Linked DNA regions of Arabidopsis thaliana. The protein of the gene in region 1 purifies or fractionates together with the protein of each later gene. This does not show direct contact. Each region holds a gene or a part of one and is shown in the gene's direction. Other genes may lie near its edges.

Region 1 (5,900 bases):
TAGTGAACTATATATTGCACAAGTATTTTTTTTGAAATTTAACAACCGAAAAGGAAATTCGTCAAAGAAGTTTGATGGAGGCACCTTTTGAGACTGCCCGATCAAGCTAGTTCGATCACAAATATAAAAATATAAAAGAATTGCTCCAAACTCAGCCCTACAATAGAAGAAAATGGTCACTATGGAGCCTAATCAGTAAGAATTCAATATTGCTGAGAACTAAGGAACCTACATTGCTCTCAAGGTTGCTCGGTTTTCAAGCAAGAAAGAGTCTTCCAAAGTCAGAAACCTACGAATAAACACAATGCCAATGGTTAAGAAAATATTATGGCTAGAGAACATTCCTCCCTAAGAAAAACAAATAGCTATAACAACCTAATCAAATTTGTTTTGATTGGTGAGCTATAAAACTTTGAAGAGGCAGATCTTGGAAGACCTCCTTCCATTAAAACTGTTCCTTCATCCTCTTTGTTCGTCACCATTTCCAGTTCAACCAAATTCTTATCTGAATGACTGCAAATGTGGATAACGTGAAACCACAAAAACAGTAAGTTCCAAAGAAATTAAACACACATAAGCGAGATATCAGTAGATGAGACTCAATTAGATAATAATCATCCATACACATACACTTTAGCGTGAAAAGAAGACCTCCTATACTCCAGAAATTCCGAGTATAGCCATGCTATCATAAGAGGAATGACTCCAAGCAGAAACGAAACCTGCAACAGAAAGAAGAACAAAAGAAGAAAGATTGAGAACAATAACAGTAATCCAAAAAAACCCACGAAAGTTGTGTTCTTTCAGCCGAATACAAAATGTAAATCTACGCAACAAGGTTCAATCCAAATCTTCCAAACTAAAAGAAAAAGTACGTTGCTTCAAGCTGAAGAAAACACAGAGTGGCTGAGGTAGAAGCTTAGTAAGTTATTAGTAATTGAAAACACTTGACTCAATGTTGAGACATTACAATCTTTGTAAATGAACTATTATAGATCATTGTGCCAGCAGATCATCTGGTGGGATAATCAATCTCACCACTCTACTTTACACAGCCAACATTAATCTAAATCTAGCAAGCAACCGATGAACTGAAGAATGAATCAACCACATTCATATAAAGGAGAAAGATAGAGAGTCCTAATCACATTAAGCTACAGGCCAATTCAATCAAAATCTCAAAATCCGCTTCGGGAAGTTGGAGAAGAATGTAAATCGAAACTTGAATCACCGAAGATCATGAAAAATTGTACCTGACCAGGCGTAATTGGCTGTGACACAACCATATCTACTGGATCCATAAAGGAATACCCAGAGATTCAAAAACTAGATACTGCAATATACACTCCAATTGCAATTAGTTTCAATCTAGGGGATGAAGAGAGAGATAGACAGAGTTAATTGGGGCAGTGGCAACGAAGAAGAAGAAGAAGAGATCTGAAGTGAAGAAGCTATTGCTTCAAGGAAGAAGAAAATGGCGGACGCGACGTCGTTTTCGTCAAATTCAATCGTACGGTTGGTTGGTTTGGCGATTGCCTCTCCTCTAATTGTTAAATTATTAATTACTTATTAATTACTAATTAAGTAAATTACAGAGGTAATCTGATTGTGGTTATACGCAATTTACAGCTCTCACTGCACACAAACTTTTCTTTCTAATCGCAATGCCTTTGCTTACAGAAATGCATGCATTTAGGTTTGGTTTTGACAACATATTTGTGTATCTAAAGAGGAAAAAAAGAACACAAAAACATTAGTGTGGATTTGCCTATAGATAAACAAACGTAGTGGACCTTTCTGGTAGGTGAGGGATAAGTTGGTACCAAACATCAATGTTCACATATTTGTTTGGTGTTAAAGCATTTGGAAAATTTTGCATCCATGTTGAAACGTCAAACGTGTAGATGTGATGACATTTAAATGTCTTTACTCTTTATTGGGTTTAGATTTCATTTCGTCAACCAAACCCACTCCTTGGGCCCAAAGGTTTCCACATTATCATCTTAAACCCTAAGGGGGCCACTAGTAAGTGGAAACAAACACTTCGTCGAATGCGCATCTTCTCTACATTCGTCTTTCATCGCAGACAACAAATCTTCAATCTTCGTCAATTCCAAACCACCACAATCCTTCGCAACCCAATCTCCATCGCTCCGATCCAGATTCCGATGGACGCCACCGAGCAGTCTCTCCGTCAATCTCTTTCCGAGAAATCCTCATCCGTCGAAGCTCAGGGTAACGCCGTCCGAGCTCTCAAGGCTTCCCGTGCAGCTAAACCAGAAATCGATGCTGCCATTGAGCAACTCAACAAATTGAAGCTCGAGAAATCTACCGTCGAGAAGGAGCTTCAGTCTATTATCAGTAGCTCCGGTAATGGTTCGCTTAACCGTGAGGCTTTTCGAAAAGCTGTTGTCAATACTCTCGAGCGGCGTTTGTTCTATATCCCTTCGTTTAAGATCTACAGTGGCGTCGCTGGACTTTTTGATTATGGTCCTCCTGGCTGTGCTATTAAATCCAATGTTCTCAGCTTTTGGCGTCAAGTAAGGAACAACACTATTCACATTTCTCTGTATTTAAATTCGACAAGATTTTGGTTGTATAAACCGAGTTAGATTTGTTACTAAACGTGATTGAATGGAGTAGAAATTGAGTCAAATGTGACAAGATTCATAGAGTAGAGTTACGTTTGGAATTATACAGATTGATGTGGGTCAAATTTGACATGATTCATAGAGTAGAAATTGTGTTAGGCTTGTTCTTATACGGGAGTGATTTGCTTCGTTTGCAGCATTTCATTCTTGAGGAGAACATGCTAGAAGTTGATTGTCCATGTGTGACACCAGAGGTTGTTCTCAAGGCATCTGGGCATGTAGATAAGTTCACTGATCTTATGGTTAAGGATGAGAAAACTGGAACATGTTACCGTGCTGACCACTTGCTCAAGGATTATTGTACCGAGAAGCTGGAGAAAGATCTTACCATCTCTGCTGAGAAAGCTGCTGAATTGAAGGATGTTCTTGCTGTTATGGAAGATTTTTCTCCTGAACAGCTAGGTGCCAAGATCAGGGAGTATGGGATCACTGCTCCAGACACGAAGAATCCACTCTCTGATCCTTACCCGTTTAATTTGATGTTTCAAACATCCATTGGCCCATCTGGTTTGATTCCTGGGTGAGTATTTTTCATGTTATAATCATTTCTGAGCCACTTTCTTTCCTGAGTTTGTTATCAAATTACTCCTCTTTTGTGTTTCAGTTACATGCGTCCTGAAACTGCTCAAGGTATTTTTGTCAACTTTAAGGACTTGTACTATTACAATGGGAAGAAACTTCCTTTTGCCGCGGCTCAAATTGGTCAAGCCTTTAGAAATGAGGTAATGTATTACTTTGCTTGATGTATGGGATGTCTTCATCTCAATCTTCTTTAAGAAATTCTTTTCTGCATTATGTCTGGGTTTTAATAAGTAGCATATTACTCGCAGATATCTCCTCGACAAGGGCTTCTTAGAGTTCGTGAATTCACGCTGGCAGAGATTGAGCACTTCGTTGATCCTGAGAATAAGTCACATCCTAAGTTCTCTGACGTAGCAAAATTGGAATTCCTTATGTTCCCAAGGGAAGAACAAATGTCTGGCCAATCTGCCAAAAAACTTTGCCTTGGTGAAGCTGTTGCTAAAGTTAGTATTTGTAATCATATTCGCCTACTTAATTCTACTAAGAACTCGCACACACCCATTTTTATATCTTATTGATGCCTGACACTGAAATCCTATTCGTATAGGGTACTGTGAACAATGAAACTCTAGGATACTTCATTGGGAGAGTGTATCTTTTCCTTACTCGTCTTGGCATTGACAAGGAACGGCTGCGCTTCCGTCAGCATCTAGCAAATGAAATGGCCCACTATGCAGCAGATTGTTGGGATGCTGAAATTGAAAGTTCATATGGGTGGATTGAATGTGTTGGGATTGCAGATAGGTCTGCTTACGACTTACGTGCTCACTCTGTAAGAACCTCACCTTTTACTTCTATTTTCATCATTTCGTTTTACAGCTAGATAATTAATGATCAAAACCCGTAAGTGTTCCTGTTTAAATTCACTAAAGTATATTGTTGATCAACTGTTGCGCGACAGGACAAAAGTGGTACTCCTCTTGTGGCTGAAGAGAAATTTGCAGAACCTAAAGAAGTAGAGGTATTTTAGTGAACAGATTCATTCATCTCTGTCTTTATTACTTGTCCTTAACATGGTTATCTTTTATATCAGAAACTTGTGATAACTCCTGTGAAGAAAGAACTGGGTCTTGCATTCAAGGGAAATCAAAAGAATGTGGTTGAATCTTTGGAGGTTGAACTCTTAACTGTTTTACTGAATAACTTTTTTTTTTAATAATATGGTGATGGTTTAGAATAAATATCATGCTTCGTGTAATGTTTTGTTAGGCGATGAATGAGGAAGAAGCTATGGAGATGAAAGCAACCCTGGAATCCAAAGGGGAAGTGGAGTTTTACGTGTGTACCCTAAAGAAAAGCGTGAACATCAAGAAAAACATGGTGTCTATATCAAAGGAGAAGAAGAAAGAGCACCAGCGGGTTTTCACTCCATCAGTGATTGAACCATCGTTTGGGATTGGTCGGATCATATATTGTCTGTATGAGCATTGTTTCAGCACAAGGCCAAGCAAAGCAGGGGATGAGCAGTTGAACTTGTTCCGTTTCCCTCCTCTTGTAGCTCCCATCAAGTGCACGGTTTTCCCGCTTGTTCAGAACCAACAATTCGAGGAAGTAGCCAAAGTTATTTCCAAGGAACTCGCCTCTGTCGGTATCTCCCATAAGATTGACATCACTGGTACGTAAAAACAAGTTGAGAATTGAAGTTTTTTGAAATATTGAAATGGATCAAATCAAGTAAAGATTTGTTGTGTTTGTGTGTGAACAGGTACATCGATAGGGAAGAGATATGCGAGAACCGATGAGCTTGGAGTGCCATTTGCAATAACAGTGGACTCGGATACATCAGTGACAATCAGAGAAAGAGACAGCAAAGATCAAGTCCGAGTCACCTTGAAGGAGGCAGCTTCCGTTGTGAGCTCAGTCTCAGAGGGGAAAATGACGTGGCAAGACGTCTGGGCAACCTTCCCTCACCATTCTTCTGCTGCTGCAGACGAGTAGCTAGCTCCTTGTTTTTTTCCGAATTAAAAACCAAAGTGTTAAATTAATTGTTGCTGAATCTACTCATTTTTAATGTTTTGTTTCTTAGTGTCACGTAAAAAGTTCGATACCAGATTTGGAGACGAAGTGGCTATAAAGTATAAACTCTCTGTTATATTTTCGTCCATTCTACTGCTAATTTTCTAAATTTTGGTCACAAATTTCAGTCCATCCAGTTATGGTCTGAATTGTTTGTGTTTGCATTAAGAAAAAAAAGTATGAAGGATCATTGTTTTTACAGTTTGCTAAGGATTACAAAGTTACAAGTTAGAGAAGCAAAGAGTTGACGCATCCTTGGGCAGTTGGTAGCGCCATCGTGCATATATACTGACTATTTTAGGTTTTAGTTTAGATGCAGAGATGGACTAAACCAGAGGAAAGCACATTCAAAAGTTTTTGATATCGAATAATGGGTTAGTTAAATCCAAGTTTTATGATAATGCAGCCATGCAGGCGGATAGAAATCTCGATCTTGGAGGACGTAACACAATTAGGCAAGTTATGAAGGAAAGTAAGATTATCAATATTTATGATTTTATGATTGTTATTTATATAATTAAATACAAATAATTAATACAATAGACTATAGGCAAGATATATTTAAAAAAATATTTAATTGAAATTACAATTAAAATGTTTAAGAACGAATAGAGATTTTATATTTTTTTTTAAAAACTCATCGCTTGAGCA
Region 2 (5,766 bases), on another chromosome or scaffold:
ACGACAAGATTTGTGAAGAAAGGCTTTGGAAGCTGAATCATAAGGTCGAGACAAATTTCTATTTGTGTCAGATAAACTGGAACATGGTGATTGATGCTACTCACAAGGGTAATAAATCAAGATACATCAATCACAGCTGCAGTCCTAACACAGAGATGCAGAAATGGTTCGTTTGTAACTTATTATCCATCTTCTCACTTTTCTTCTGTTCAAAACAATTGAGCAAAGTTATAGATCATGAACCTTTTTGTTCCCATTTAGGATAATTGATGGCGAGACAAGAATCGGCATTTTTGCTACCCGTTTCATAAACAAAGGCGAGCAGTTGACTTACGATTACCAGTAAGAACATTTCCTTGCATCACAACAATAAAGTATTTGAATGTAAATGTTTAGTTGTGTGATACTAATAAATATAGCAGGTTTGTTCAGTTTGGTGCAGATCAAGATTGCTACTGTGGTGCAGTGTGTTGCAGAAAAAAGCTAGGTGCAAAACCTTGCAAAACTAAGAACACAACCTTAGAAGAAGCTGTGAAGCCAGTGGCATGTAAAGTGACCTGGAAAACGCCCAAGGTAAATTTGAGCTTTGCCTTACTTTTTTTTAGTCATCCTGTGATTGCTAAACAGTAACTTGTCCTTTCAAACATATGGTTAGGGAAAAACTCGAGGGAGACGCATTGCTGGTTAGTATTAATTATTTGGCTCGATTATCGACAAGCTTCTCAATTCAGAGGTAAGAGAAACCAATTTGGATGCGTCAGGACAAGCTTGGAACAATCATAGCCAGAGGAAAATATGTTGCCGGGACTGCATTGGTGCGGTGATCTGGTTAGCACGTCCCATGAACCAAAAGTATAACTATCTTTCTTTTTTTCTCAAAAACCAATTTCTTCCACACCAAAGAACAGTATTACACGGCTCAGATGAAGGTTTTGACTCTAGTAGTTGACATTTTTCAGGTGTTTTGGAATCATTACACAATATGATGAGTTTTAAATAAGCACTTGGTATCTATTCATTTGACTTATTGCCAACACTGTTGTTCACATTCTATCTCAGTTTACGAAATCTAAAGAATGAACATTGACTTTGTCCAGGTCATGTATGAGGATGGTGTTACCGAGATCATCGACATGTGCAGAGAAGTTTGGAAGGTTGTAACTGCTTGATATTGTGACTGTTCCAAGTCTGATTTCATTCCCTTACATAGGATTACACTTGAATTGTCAAGAAATTTTGTAACCAACCAAACCGTGTCGGTTGGCAAATAGGTTTAGACTTTGTTGTTGTATGTATCCAACTTGAATCAGTAGTTCAGTAGTACATTACACTGTATGTGGAATCTTTGGACCAAATAAAGAAAAGTGTTTTTGGATTTTAAACCGGGGTTTTGGTTATTTAAGAGACAAAAAATCTCATACCCGGTTTGCTCTGTCTATAACTCGAGTTTGTTAAGCACGTGATTCTCCTTGGCAATGCTGCTATATCACTAGCCTACTGTCCGTTGTAGCGGATGATACCCACGCGCCGGTGACCGACAGTGGATTTGCCGTTACCGGTGGTAGGTAATGTGGGGTCGTAGCTCACCTACCTAACTAAATTTTCTTTTTCTTATGTTTAGTTGGAAAATAAGAAAAATATAAAAACTAGTTTTTTGTAAAGGAAAAGGATAAAATTACTATTATGGAAAAGATAAATTCCAAAAGTGAGGAAATATGTATTTAGCACAATAAAAAGTGATAGCAATGTGAGAAAAAAAACGTGATAACAGAAATGCTGTGCTAAATTTGGATTTCTTTGTTGAAAATATATTTACATTGATAAATATTATGTAATTAGAAAAAGGAAAATTCAAAATAGATGTGTAGAAAAACAACAATGTTGATAATATAATTTTTTATCTAAAGTTTTTACCGGTTACCAGTTACCACCAAAGTTGTTGGATCTCTATCTTCATTTTTAGAGATTAGTATAAATGAGTGAGTAAACAAACCAGAGAGACCAAACTTGCCTCTCCACCACCACTTCCTCTACCTATCTAATTCCGAATCTGGATTTGGATTTGGATCTCATTTCGATTCAACGATGAAGGTGGTTGATAAGATCAAATCCGTGACGGAGCAAGGCCAAACAGCTTTCTCCTTCGAGTTTTTCCCACCGAAGACAGAAGATGGCGTCGAGAATCTCTTTGAACGAATGGATCGATTGGTCTCTTATGGACCTACCTTCTGCGATATCACTTGGGGTGCTGGTGGATCCACAGCTGATCTCACTCTCGAGATTGCTTCTAGGATGCAGAATGTTATCTGCGTCGAGACTATGATGCATCTCACTTGTACCAACATGCCGATTGAGAAGATTGATCACGCGCTTGAGACGATTAGATCTAATGGAATTCAGAATGTGCTTGCTCTTAGAGGAGATCCTCCTCATGGACAAGATAAGTTTGTTCAGGTTGAAGGAGGATTTGCTTGTGCTTTGGATCTGGTGAATCACATTCGTAGCAAGTATGGTGATTACTTTGGAATCACTGTTGCTGGTTATCCTGGTAATCAAAATGCTCCCTTTTAATCAATTTCATTGTTGGTTTCGTTGTTGTGATTTTGATCTCTAATTGGGGATTTGTGTGTTATGAATCAGAGGCTCATCCGGATGTTATTGAAGCTGATGGACTTGCTACTCCTGAATCTTATCAGAGTGATCTTGCTTACTTGAAGAAAAAGGTTCAGATTTGTGTCTTGGTTTTGAATTTTGTGTGTTGAATTGTTTGTGTTGTCTTGATTTGATGGGTTTAGTGGATTGTGGCTTGTGGTACAGGTTGATGCTGGAGCAGATTTGATTGTGACTCAGCTTTTCTATGATACTGATATATTCCTCAAGTTTGTGAATGATTGTCGGCAAATCGGGATTAATTGTCCCATTGTTCCTGGAATTATGCCTATTTCCAACTACAAGGGGTTCTTGCGTATGGCTGGTTTCTGTAAGACCAAGGTATGTTGTGATCTCTTTCATCTGTGTGATGATATGGCTTGCTCTGTAGACACATGTCGTCTTTGTGCTTAAAGGCTTTAAGATGAGATTGAGTTTACTGCATCTATCTAGTTGCTTGGTGATATATATATAGACCCTTGGTGATGATGCCTTATGACTAATGTGTTCAGATATCATTTTTCTTTGATTTATATTCCACTCATGATTCTATTATTGCATAGATACCCGCTGAGCTCACTGCTGCCTTAGAGCCTATTAAGGATAATGACGAGGCTGTTAAAGCCTATGGAATTCACTTTGCAACAGAAATGTGCAAAAAGATTTTGGCCCATGGAATCACTTCCCTTCATCTCTACACATTGAACGTGGACAAATCAGCTATTGGGATATTAATGGTTTTCTTCTCATTTCCTTCTAAATTGGTTTCTGTGTAGTAATATTTAACACATGGTATTGTGTATACCGGAGAACCTAACAGTGGTGCTCAAATTGCAGAACCTTGGTCTGATTGATGAGTCAAAAATTTCTCGTTCTCTACCTTGGAGACGCCCTGCAAATGTTTTCCGTACTAAGGAAGATGTTCGCCCAATTTTCTGGTAACCTGCATTTTGTTTCTCTTGCTCGGAGTATTATTACAGATCTTTAACTTTAAGATATATTTGCGGAGGAATAATACTGTTACTTCATTTTTTATCTTTGCAGGGCAAACCGTCCAAAGAGCTACATATCTAGAACAAAGGGCTGGAATGACTTCCCACATGGACGTTGGGGTGATTCACACAGTGCAGCATACAGTACACTTTCGGATTATCAGGTACGTACCACATATTTATCAGTTTTCTGACATATCGACTTTATATTTTGAAAACTTGAATTCTGAAAGGCTTGTTTTCAGTTTGCCTTCTCAATTTGCTTAAATTGTATTTGCATATTGTTATTTAGCCCTACCATTATCACTTGTAAGAAGCTGCTTGCTTTGCTTGCCATCTCTTCTGCGTTTTTCATTGCCAATGAGTAGTGCTGATATAAATGCATGTGTTGATAGTTTGCGCGCCCAAAAGGACGTGACAAGAAGCTTCAGCAAGAATGGGTCGTCCCACTGAAAAGCATTGAAGATGTTCAAGAGGTAGGCTTTACTTTACGGACACTCGTACAAATTGTTTCGATCTCTTTCCCTCATACTCACTTGCACATTTTCATGTAAAAACTGTCACAAATCAGAAATTCAAAGAGCTCTGCATTGGAAACTTAAAAAGCAGCCCATGGTCTGAATTAGATGGACTCCAGCCAGAGACAAAGATCATAAATGAGCAACTCGGAAAAATCAACTCCAACGGTTTCCTGACCATTAATAGCCAACCATCAGTCAATGCAGCCAAATCCGATTCTCCAGCTATTGGTAAGAAAACTCAAACTTGTGATCACAAAGCATACCATAACGTTCCAAAAAAAAAAATCTTATTTGACTTGTGATTCATCTGTCATTTCTTAAAAACCTATTTAAACCCTCTAGAGCTTCTGTCTTAGCTTATAACATAATGTTTAAATTGCATTGGGAATATCTACTTGGCTTATAACAAAAATGTATAATTGCAATTGATACTTTGCAGGATGGGGTGGTCCTGGTGGTTACGTCTACCAGAAAGCTTATCTGGAGTTCTTCTGTTCAAAGGATAAGTTAGACACACTTGTGGAGAAATCCAAAGCTTTTCCTTCTATCACCTACATGGCCGTGAACAAATCAGAGAATTGGGTATCAAACACCGGTGAGTCCGATGTGAATGCAGTTACTTGGGGAGTGTTCCCAGCTAAGGAGGTTATTCAACCGACGATCGTGGATCCAGCCAGTTTCAAAGTCTGGAAAGACGAAGCGTTTGAGATTTGGTCAAGAAGCTGGGCTAACTTGTACCCAGAAGATGACCCTTCTAGAAAGTTGCTCGAGGAGGTAAAGAATCTTCTTCTTTTTTCTTCTCTTCTTTTCAGTGACCAGATTGGTTTAGCTGTAATGATGATGGTATGATCCAATCGAATATGCAGGTGAAGAACAGCTACTATTTGGTAAGCTTAGTGGACAACAATTACATCAATGGTGATATCTTCTCTGTCTTTGCTTGATCTCCGAGAAAACCACCGGCGAAGAGGAAACATTCGATTTCGAGATTTGTTTTGTACCTTTTAAAGTTATTTTTGATTCGTAATAACCTTACTTTGATGAATCAACAAAAACATCAGTTTGATTGCAATGAAAAAAATCGCCTTAGCGGTTTGTTCTTTCTCTCTTGTGTCAAAACAACATCACAAAATAGCTTTTAACAGAAATCAAGAAATGTTGGCATTTCTTAAAGACTTGGAAGTAACAAGACCAGAAGATGTCCGCATCAAATGCTCCTTAAGCATTGAAACACCAGACGCATCTGTCTTCAAAAGTGGTTGCACCAATTCCCACATCTTCTTCTTTTGAACCTGAAACAACAAAGAAAACACAGAACTTGAATATGCCATGACTTAAGTCTTGCAGTACTGAAATGATTAGTGCTTTGCAGGCTAAATGACCTTATTAGGAGGTGCAGGTTCAGGAAGCTGCTCGAGATCTTCTTCGTTACCAAACCAAACTCTATCTCCAGGAACAGAGCCTTCTGGTGGAACAAGAAGCTCAACATTTTCATGAGCTGCGTCAGATGCAGCTAAAAGCATACCACATGACTTAACCCCTCTCATATTCCTCGGCTTCAGATTAGCCAGCACCACCACTGATGCACCCTGCACAGAACCAAA
Region 3 (5,860 bases), on another chromosome or scaffold:
AATTGAGGTTTTTAGAGTGAGCAAGAACCTTGTGTAGCAAAAACCTTAAATCCGTCATCTATGGGAAGTATAAACTCTGTGGCTGAAGCTAAAACAGAGGAAGATCCTTCGACAAATCAGGGAGATGGGGACGACGAATCACCTAGAACCCTAATTGAAGATCAGAGAGATGTGGAGGAATCAAAAACCCTAAGTGAAGATCAAGTAGATGTGAAGGAATCCAAAACCCTAATTGAAGATCAAGGAGATGAGGAAGAATCTAAAACCCTAGATGAAGATTTGGATGAAACAGAGGAAGAGAGTGGAGAGTGCCCTTTATGCCAGTTCATAAAGGGAGGTGAGTGTAAAGAAGCATTCACAGAATTGGAGAATTGTTGCGACGAAGCAAAGAAGAACAATGAAGATCACGTAAGTAAATGTAAGGAGGCAAGACTCATCTTTAAGACTTGCATGTATGATAACCCTGTTTACTATGAGCCCCTTCTTGCTGGTGAGGCTAGAGCGATGGCCAAGATGTTGAGCGAGTTGTTGAACGCGGAAAAGGAAGCTATTATGGCTGGTGAGCCTGCAGTCATTGCGAGGGCGTTTAGCGGGTTGCAAGAAGAGAATGCTGAGCCAATTCTGCCTGCTGAAGCTGCAGCGATCGGGAAGGCGTTTCGCGAGTTGGAAGCTGGAAAGAAGAAGGAGAAGGAAGCAGAGGGATCCGAGGGTAATGAGAGTGATCATCAGAATCAGAATTAGGTAAAGCTTTTTTTATGAGCATATTGAGACTTACATTGATCTGAATGAAAATTCAAATTTCGTTACTCTTAATTTTGTTTAGGTGTGTCTTCTTATATACACCATTGGTTATGTAATTTGGATGCATCTATAAAATACTGTCGTAATCACCTTCTTCTACAAAAAACTAAGACCATTTTAATATACATTTTGATTTTTTTTAAGATAAGACTTTGTGCAAGAGTTTTTATCCAATGATAGAATCTTAAGTGAGACTTGAGTAGTACTTATGCTCAACTTTTGAAACAAGAGATAGAAGTAAAAGAAAGAAGCACATTCCTTTGGCACATAAAAGTCATCAGCAGTGGTCTTCAGGATCTTCCGCAATACGCTTCAACATGAATAGCAGCCATACGGTCCATGAAGTGATCAGTGGTAATCACTGCAAGATGATCTTCAACAAAATCTTCAATCTTCTTCCAGTCACGATCAAACCTAAGAAACAGAGAGCAGTAGTATCATCAGCACAATCAGGTCCTGCTAAAATCAATATAATACTTTTAAAAAACCACACAAGTATAAAATTATTACAGTTGAAGTGCTTCAAGAAGCAGATCTATTTAGCTAATCAAAAAAGATCAATTAACTCAAGGAAGCAGATCTTTTTTAGCTTAAGTTACTACTGACCTAACACTATCATAAACTTCCCTCTCGTTCACTTATGTATCTGCCTTGACATATCAGTTTATATCCCTAAAAGCCAGCAATAATATTGAAGGATCTAACACTAAGGAAAACTAAAACATGCATTGCTCGCCAATCCAAACAGAAACTCACCAAATCGTAAGTTTCGATATCATCCAAACCAAACAAATTGAATGCCTGGGGAGAGAGAGTCTTACTGAGGAAAAATGCTTCAATTAGCCCAAATATTAAAGTCCCAATATAAGGAGACTTTTTGTTAAATTTTTAGCCCGATTAAACATAACATTTTTTAATCAGCATGCAATATTTTCATTTAATGTGCTCGGTTCTGTCACGGACACTGACATGTAATTTTTCATTTTCACGGGTGAGATAATTTTCAGACAATATTAGAATTTTTTTCTTCCCTTTGTAGTTATTCGAAATTATGTTATTGTTGGGAAGTAATGAAAAAAAACTCAACAAAATTCGATTTAATACCTATCCATAATATTATTGATCCTAAAAATAGAAAAGGATAATTTTGCTGAGTCAGAAACGTGATATTCGCGACGTTGTTTCCGGATAAAGAGTAAACGTACGACTGCTTTAACTCACCTATAAAATCACGACCGTCGATTTCATTTATGTCAAGGGGCAAAACTGAAAATCACACAAAAACAAACAAAACTTTGCTTACGTCACATCATTATCTGTGACTAATTCTTAATCATCATCATCATCATCACTTACTTAAATCTAAAAAAATCTCTGTTTGTATATATATTATCTTTGCGATTTTTATCCAAATCTTCCAAAGCTTAGTTTTTTTTTTTTTTCAATTTCTCTCTTGCGTTTTCGATTTTATTACAAGAACTTTGTTTTGGGCTTCATCCATCGTTCAAGGTTCGTTGAAAACTATGAAGAAAGTTGAGTTTTTTATGCTCCTTCTCTGCTTCATCGCAGCGTCATCTCTAGTGGTAAGACTTAATAATCAAAAGCTCGAATTTTTAATGTTCTTCCAATCATTGAAATATAATCCGAGATTAAAGTTTTTAAATTTGATCTTGATTGGTGTGTAAAGTCTGCTGATCCACCAACATGTCCTGCTGATTTGGGAGGCAAGTGTAGTGATTCTGATGACTGGCAAGGTGATTTCTTCCCTGAAATCCCCAAGATTAAGTATGAGGTAAACAATGGTGATGTTTCTCTTTAAAACTGTTGGTTTAAGTTGGAAACTTTAGTGGATTTGTTGTTTGCATGTGTAGATGAATTGGTTGTTGATGAATTTTTTCAGGGACCTTCGAGTAAGAACCCACTTGCTTACAGGTGGTATAACGCTGAAGAAGAGATTCTTGGGAAGAAAATGAAGGTACTTTTATTTTCTTGTTTGTATTTTCTTGCAACAATTTTTGAGTTATGTTTTTATGGATTTGAAGAAACGTGTGGGATGTTTGTTTGTTGTCCTGAATTTTTTGAACAGGATTGGTTTAGATTCAGTGTTGCGTTTTGGCATACTTTCCGTGGGACTGGAGGTGATCCATTTGGTGCTGCTACTAAGTATTGGCCTTGGGAAGATGGTACTAACTCTGTGTCTATGGCTAAGAGAAGAAGTAAGTCCAGATTGTGTTTTTATGTTAGTTTCTCTTCGTTATCGAGTTACTGTGATTTGAGTTACTGATTGTTGTTTAATGCAGTGAGAGCTAACTTTGAGTTCTTGAAGAAACTTGGAGTTGATTGGTGGTGTTTTCATGACAGAGACATAGCACCTGATGGCACTACACTTGAGGTAACTCGAGCTTCTGAACTTACACCATTTTGCTTTACATTGAAACTACAATCTGCTTTATTGCCTGGTGTTATAAACCATTTTGGTCCTGATATTTCCTTTGCAGCTTGCTGTTTCTTGTGGTACTTGATAACTTTGTTTTGCTCTTGTTGGCCCAATGTTAACTTGTTTCAGTCATAAAGAAAGCGCCTGTAACCTGTTTATACTTAATCTGCAGGAATCTAACAAAAACTTGGATGAAGTTATCGAACTCGCCAAAGAACTCCAAAAGGTGATTCAGTTTGTTAATTTTCCAGTTCTTATTACACATTGGATTTTGGAAGATACTTCTTGTAGTTAATCAATTCTCCAATACAGACTCATGTATGCCATTTTATAATTGAATCTTTTTATCACTGAAACAGTACTATCTTGTTACCATTCCTTAGTTTGATGTGCTAAGAAAAAAAGGTTCTTCGTTTTCTTCAAATGCAGGGGAGCAAAATCAAACCATTGTGGGGAACAGCTCAGCTTTTCTTGCATCCTCGTTATATGCACGGAGGAGCGACCAGCTCTGAAGTTGGAGTGTATGCTTACGCTGCTGCTCAGGTGAAGAAAGCCATGGAGGTAACACATTACTTAGGTGGTGAAAACTACGTTTTTTGGGGTGGTCGTGAAGGTTATCAGACACTCTTGAACACTGATATGGGAAGAGAGCTTGATCATCTAGCCAGGTTCTTTGAAGCTGCTGTTGCTTACAAGAAGAAGATTGGATTCAAAGGTAAGTCTACTGCTTCTTTTTCTTGTCCTGTATTCAGTCTTATGGGAGTTATTGCACAATAATCTTCTTTTTATCAGGCACGCTTTTAATCGAGCCCAAGCCTCAAGAACCCACCAAGCACCAGTATGACTGGGATGCTGCAACAGCTGCCAATTTCTTGAGGAAATATGGTCTTATTGATGAGTTTAAGCTCAACATTGAGTGTAACCATGCCACGCTCTCTGGTCACACTTGTCATCACGAGCTTGAAACTGCAAGAATTAATGGTTTACTTGGCAACATTGATGCAAACACTGGCGATGCTCAAACTGGTAATTTTTCAATTTCAGCTCTCTTGATTGTTAACACCTCCTAACCAGATTCTGATTGAACAAAGTTCTCTCATTCTCTTAACAGGATGGGATACAGATCAGTTTCTTACAGATGTTGGAGAAGCAACCATGGTTATGATGAGTGTCATCAAAAATGTATGTAATATTAAAGAAACTCGCTATTTTTGGGAATTTCATTGTAAATTTTTGAATGTAAGCTCATAAGAGCTTCTGTTTTTCACATATGAAACAGGGTGGGATTGCTCCAGGCGGCTTCAACTTTGACGCTAAACTGTAAGAGCGATTCTTGATTCACAATGTTTTACTGTTTCATACAAAATTAAACCGAGAAAGAAGCTTATAATGTTTGGTTGATTAAACAGGCGAAGAGAGAGTACAGACGTGGAAGACTTATTCATTGCTCATATTAGTGGAATGGATACAATGGCTCGTGGACTGAGAAATGCAGTCAAAATCTTGGAGGTTAGTTAAGATATGAATAGATAAGTTTTATAAAAGAACCAAAGAGTGTAGCTTTAACTTGGTTTCGGTGTGGTAAAGGAGGGAAGTCTAAGTGAATTGGTACGCAAGCGATATGCAACTTGGGACTCTGAGCTTGGGAAGCAAATAGAAGAAGGAAAAGCTGATTTTGAGTATCTTGAGAAGAAAGCTAAAGAGTTTGGAGAACCAAAGGTTTCTTCTGCTAAACAGGTACAAGTTTCTTGCTATTAATTCTGGTTTTGTTTCGTTAAACACGAAAAACACACAATGATCGATGTCTTTTGAAACGAAATCTGCAGGAACTCGCTGAGATGATTTTCCAATCTGCAATGTAAGAAGAAGAACAAGAAGGCTTTTTATGTTTATTAAAAGTATCGTCTTTTTTAGTTTCCCTCGCATCTTTGAGAAGTTTGAAAACCAAAACATTGGAAAATAAGATGATTAGAGAGGTTGGTTTCATTATTTCAGTTGATGTACTATGGTTTCACACTCTAATTACTTTAAATTGAATAACAAAAAACTGTTTAGGCCTTTACTTTGATTCAGTTACGGTTTTTGTGACAAAGACCAATGAGCAATTCCGATCTATTTCTTCACTCGACTATAGTAAAGTTTGTAGGAGGTTTTATACGAGAAAGTTTAAAACAGCGATATACATATATACAATCAAAATTCTTCTTACCTTATGAAAATTTGAAAAGCAATATATGATTTTCACATTAAGCTTTGAGTTTTGAGTTTGAAAACGTTGATTCTTAAAAATGGTCTAACATCAATAAAAACTTTATCCAATTCATTTCGTTTCGTTAGTTATGATTTCAGAATTTTCTGTTGAGATTTAAAGGAAACTCAAAGTCCTAATTTGACAAATTTCTCGACAAAATCTTTGATAGTATTTGATAAGAAAGGTTTGAAAACTAGGGAAACATAGCCTATCTACTTGATGTATCTATGAAATAGTTGTGATGACTTTGTTAATTTCGTATTTGCGACGACCGTGATGTATTACAATAATTGAGTCTTCTATGATGTTGAACCTAATTACTATCCGTCGATGGTTCTAGAAAATTTCTTTATTTGTTGTTGAATGAATTA

The links. Proteins that work in one complex are often made in the same cells at the same time.
Region 2: the proteins of AT1G29880 (region 1) and MTHFR1 fractionate together in Arabidopsis thaliana (co-fractionation; one large-scale study listed by BioGRID). This does not show direct contact.
Region 3: the proteins of AT1G29880 (region 1) and AT5G57655 fractionate together in Arabidopsis thaliana (co-fractionation; one large-scale study listed by BioGRID). This does not show direct contact.

The regions. Positions count from the first base shown.
Region 1 is NC_003070.9:10,458,933-10,464,832, reverse strand, and holds AT1G29880 (glycyl-tRNA synthetase / glycine-tRNA ligase), read left to right. Parts: upstream 1-1,865; 5' UTR 1,866-2,051; coding exon 2,052-2,540; intron 2,541-2,788; coding exon 2,789-3,171; intron 3,172-3,255; coding exon 3,256-3,373; intron 3,374-3,481; coding exon 3,482-3,676; intron 3,677-3,780; coding exon 3,781-4,005; intron 4,006-4,134; coding exon 4,135-4,194; intron 4,195-4,266; coding exon 4,267-4,347; intron 4,348-4,442; coding exon 4,443-4,848; intron 4,849-4,938; coding exon 4,939-5,171; 3' UTR 5,172-5,376; downstream 5,377-5,900. Other genes in the region: RWA4 (O-acetyltransferase family protein), read right to left, coding at 85-157, 233-289, 376-513, 631-722, 1,254-1,301. UniProt on the Arabidopsis thaliana protein: Catalyzes the ATP-dependent ligation of glycine to the 3'-end of its cognate tRNA, via the formation of an aminoacyl-adenylate intermediate (Gly-AMP).
Region 2 is NC_003074.8:22,149,218-22,154,983, forward strand, and holds MTHFR1 (methylenetetrahydrofolate reductase 1), read left to right. Parts: upstream 1-1,946; 5' UTR 1,947-2,085; coding exon 2,086-2,548; intron 2,549-2,640; coding exon 2,641-2,723; intron 2,724-2,817; coding exon 2,818-2,991; exon of another isoform or gene 2,992-3,212; coding exon 3,213-3,386; intron 3,387-3,486; coding exon 3,487-3,587; intron 3,588-3,693; coding exon 3,694-3,805; intron 3,806-4,036; coding exon 4,037-4,117; coding exon of another isoform or gene 4,118-4,195; exon of another isoform or gene 4,196-4,212; coding exon 4,213-4,390; intron 4,391-4,601; coding exon 4,602-4,936; intron 4,937-5,026; exon of another isoform or gene 5,027-5,028; coding exon 5,029-5,106; 3' UTR 5,107-5,266; downstream 5,267-5,766. Other genes in the region: histone-lysine N-methyltransferase ASHH4, read left to right, coding at 1-166, 262-342, 423-573, 656-683, 762-852, 960-996; AT3G59980 (Nucleic acid-binding, OB-fold-like protein), read right to left, coding at 5,311-5,454, 5,545-5,751. UniProt on the Arabidopsis thaliana protein: The probable reversibility of the MTHFR reaction in plants suggests that they can metabolize the methyl group of 5,10-methylenetetrahydrofolate to serine, sugars and starch.
Region 3 is NC_003076.8:23,344,706-23,350,565, forward strand, and holds AT5G57655 (xylose isomerase family protein), read left to right. Parts: upstream 1-1,969; 5' UTR 1,970-2,324; coding exon 2,325-2,384; intron 2,385-2,488; coding exon 2,489-2,593; intron 2,594-2,701; coding exon 2,702-2,776; intron 2,777-2,887; coding exon 2,888-3,017; intron 3,018-3,101; coding exon 3,102-3,193; intron 3,194-3,410; coding exon 3,411-3,464; intron 3,465-3,667; coding exon 3,668-3,953; coding exon of another isoform or gene 3,954-4,015; exon of another isoform or gene 4,016-4,030; coding exon 4,031-4,264; intron 4,265-4,349; coding exon 4,350-4,420; intron 4,421-4,517; coding exon 4,518-4,558; intron 4,559-4,647; coding exon 4,648-4,747; intron 4,748-4,825; coding exon 4,826-4,975; intron 4,976-5,064; coding exon 5,065-5,100; 3' UTR 5,101-5,360; downstream 5,361-5,860. Other genes in the region: AT5G57640 (GCK domain-containing protein), read left to right, coding at 61-741; AT5G57650 (eukaryotic translation initiation factor-like protein), read right to left, coding at 1,092-1,215, 1,558-1,580.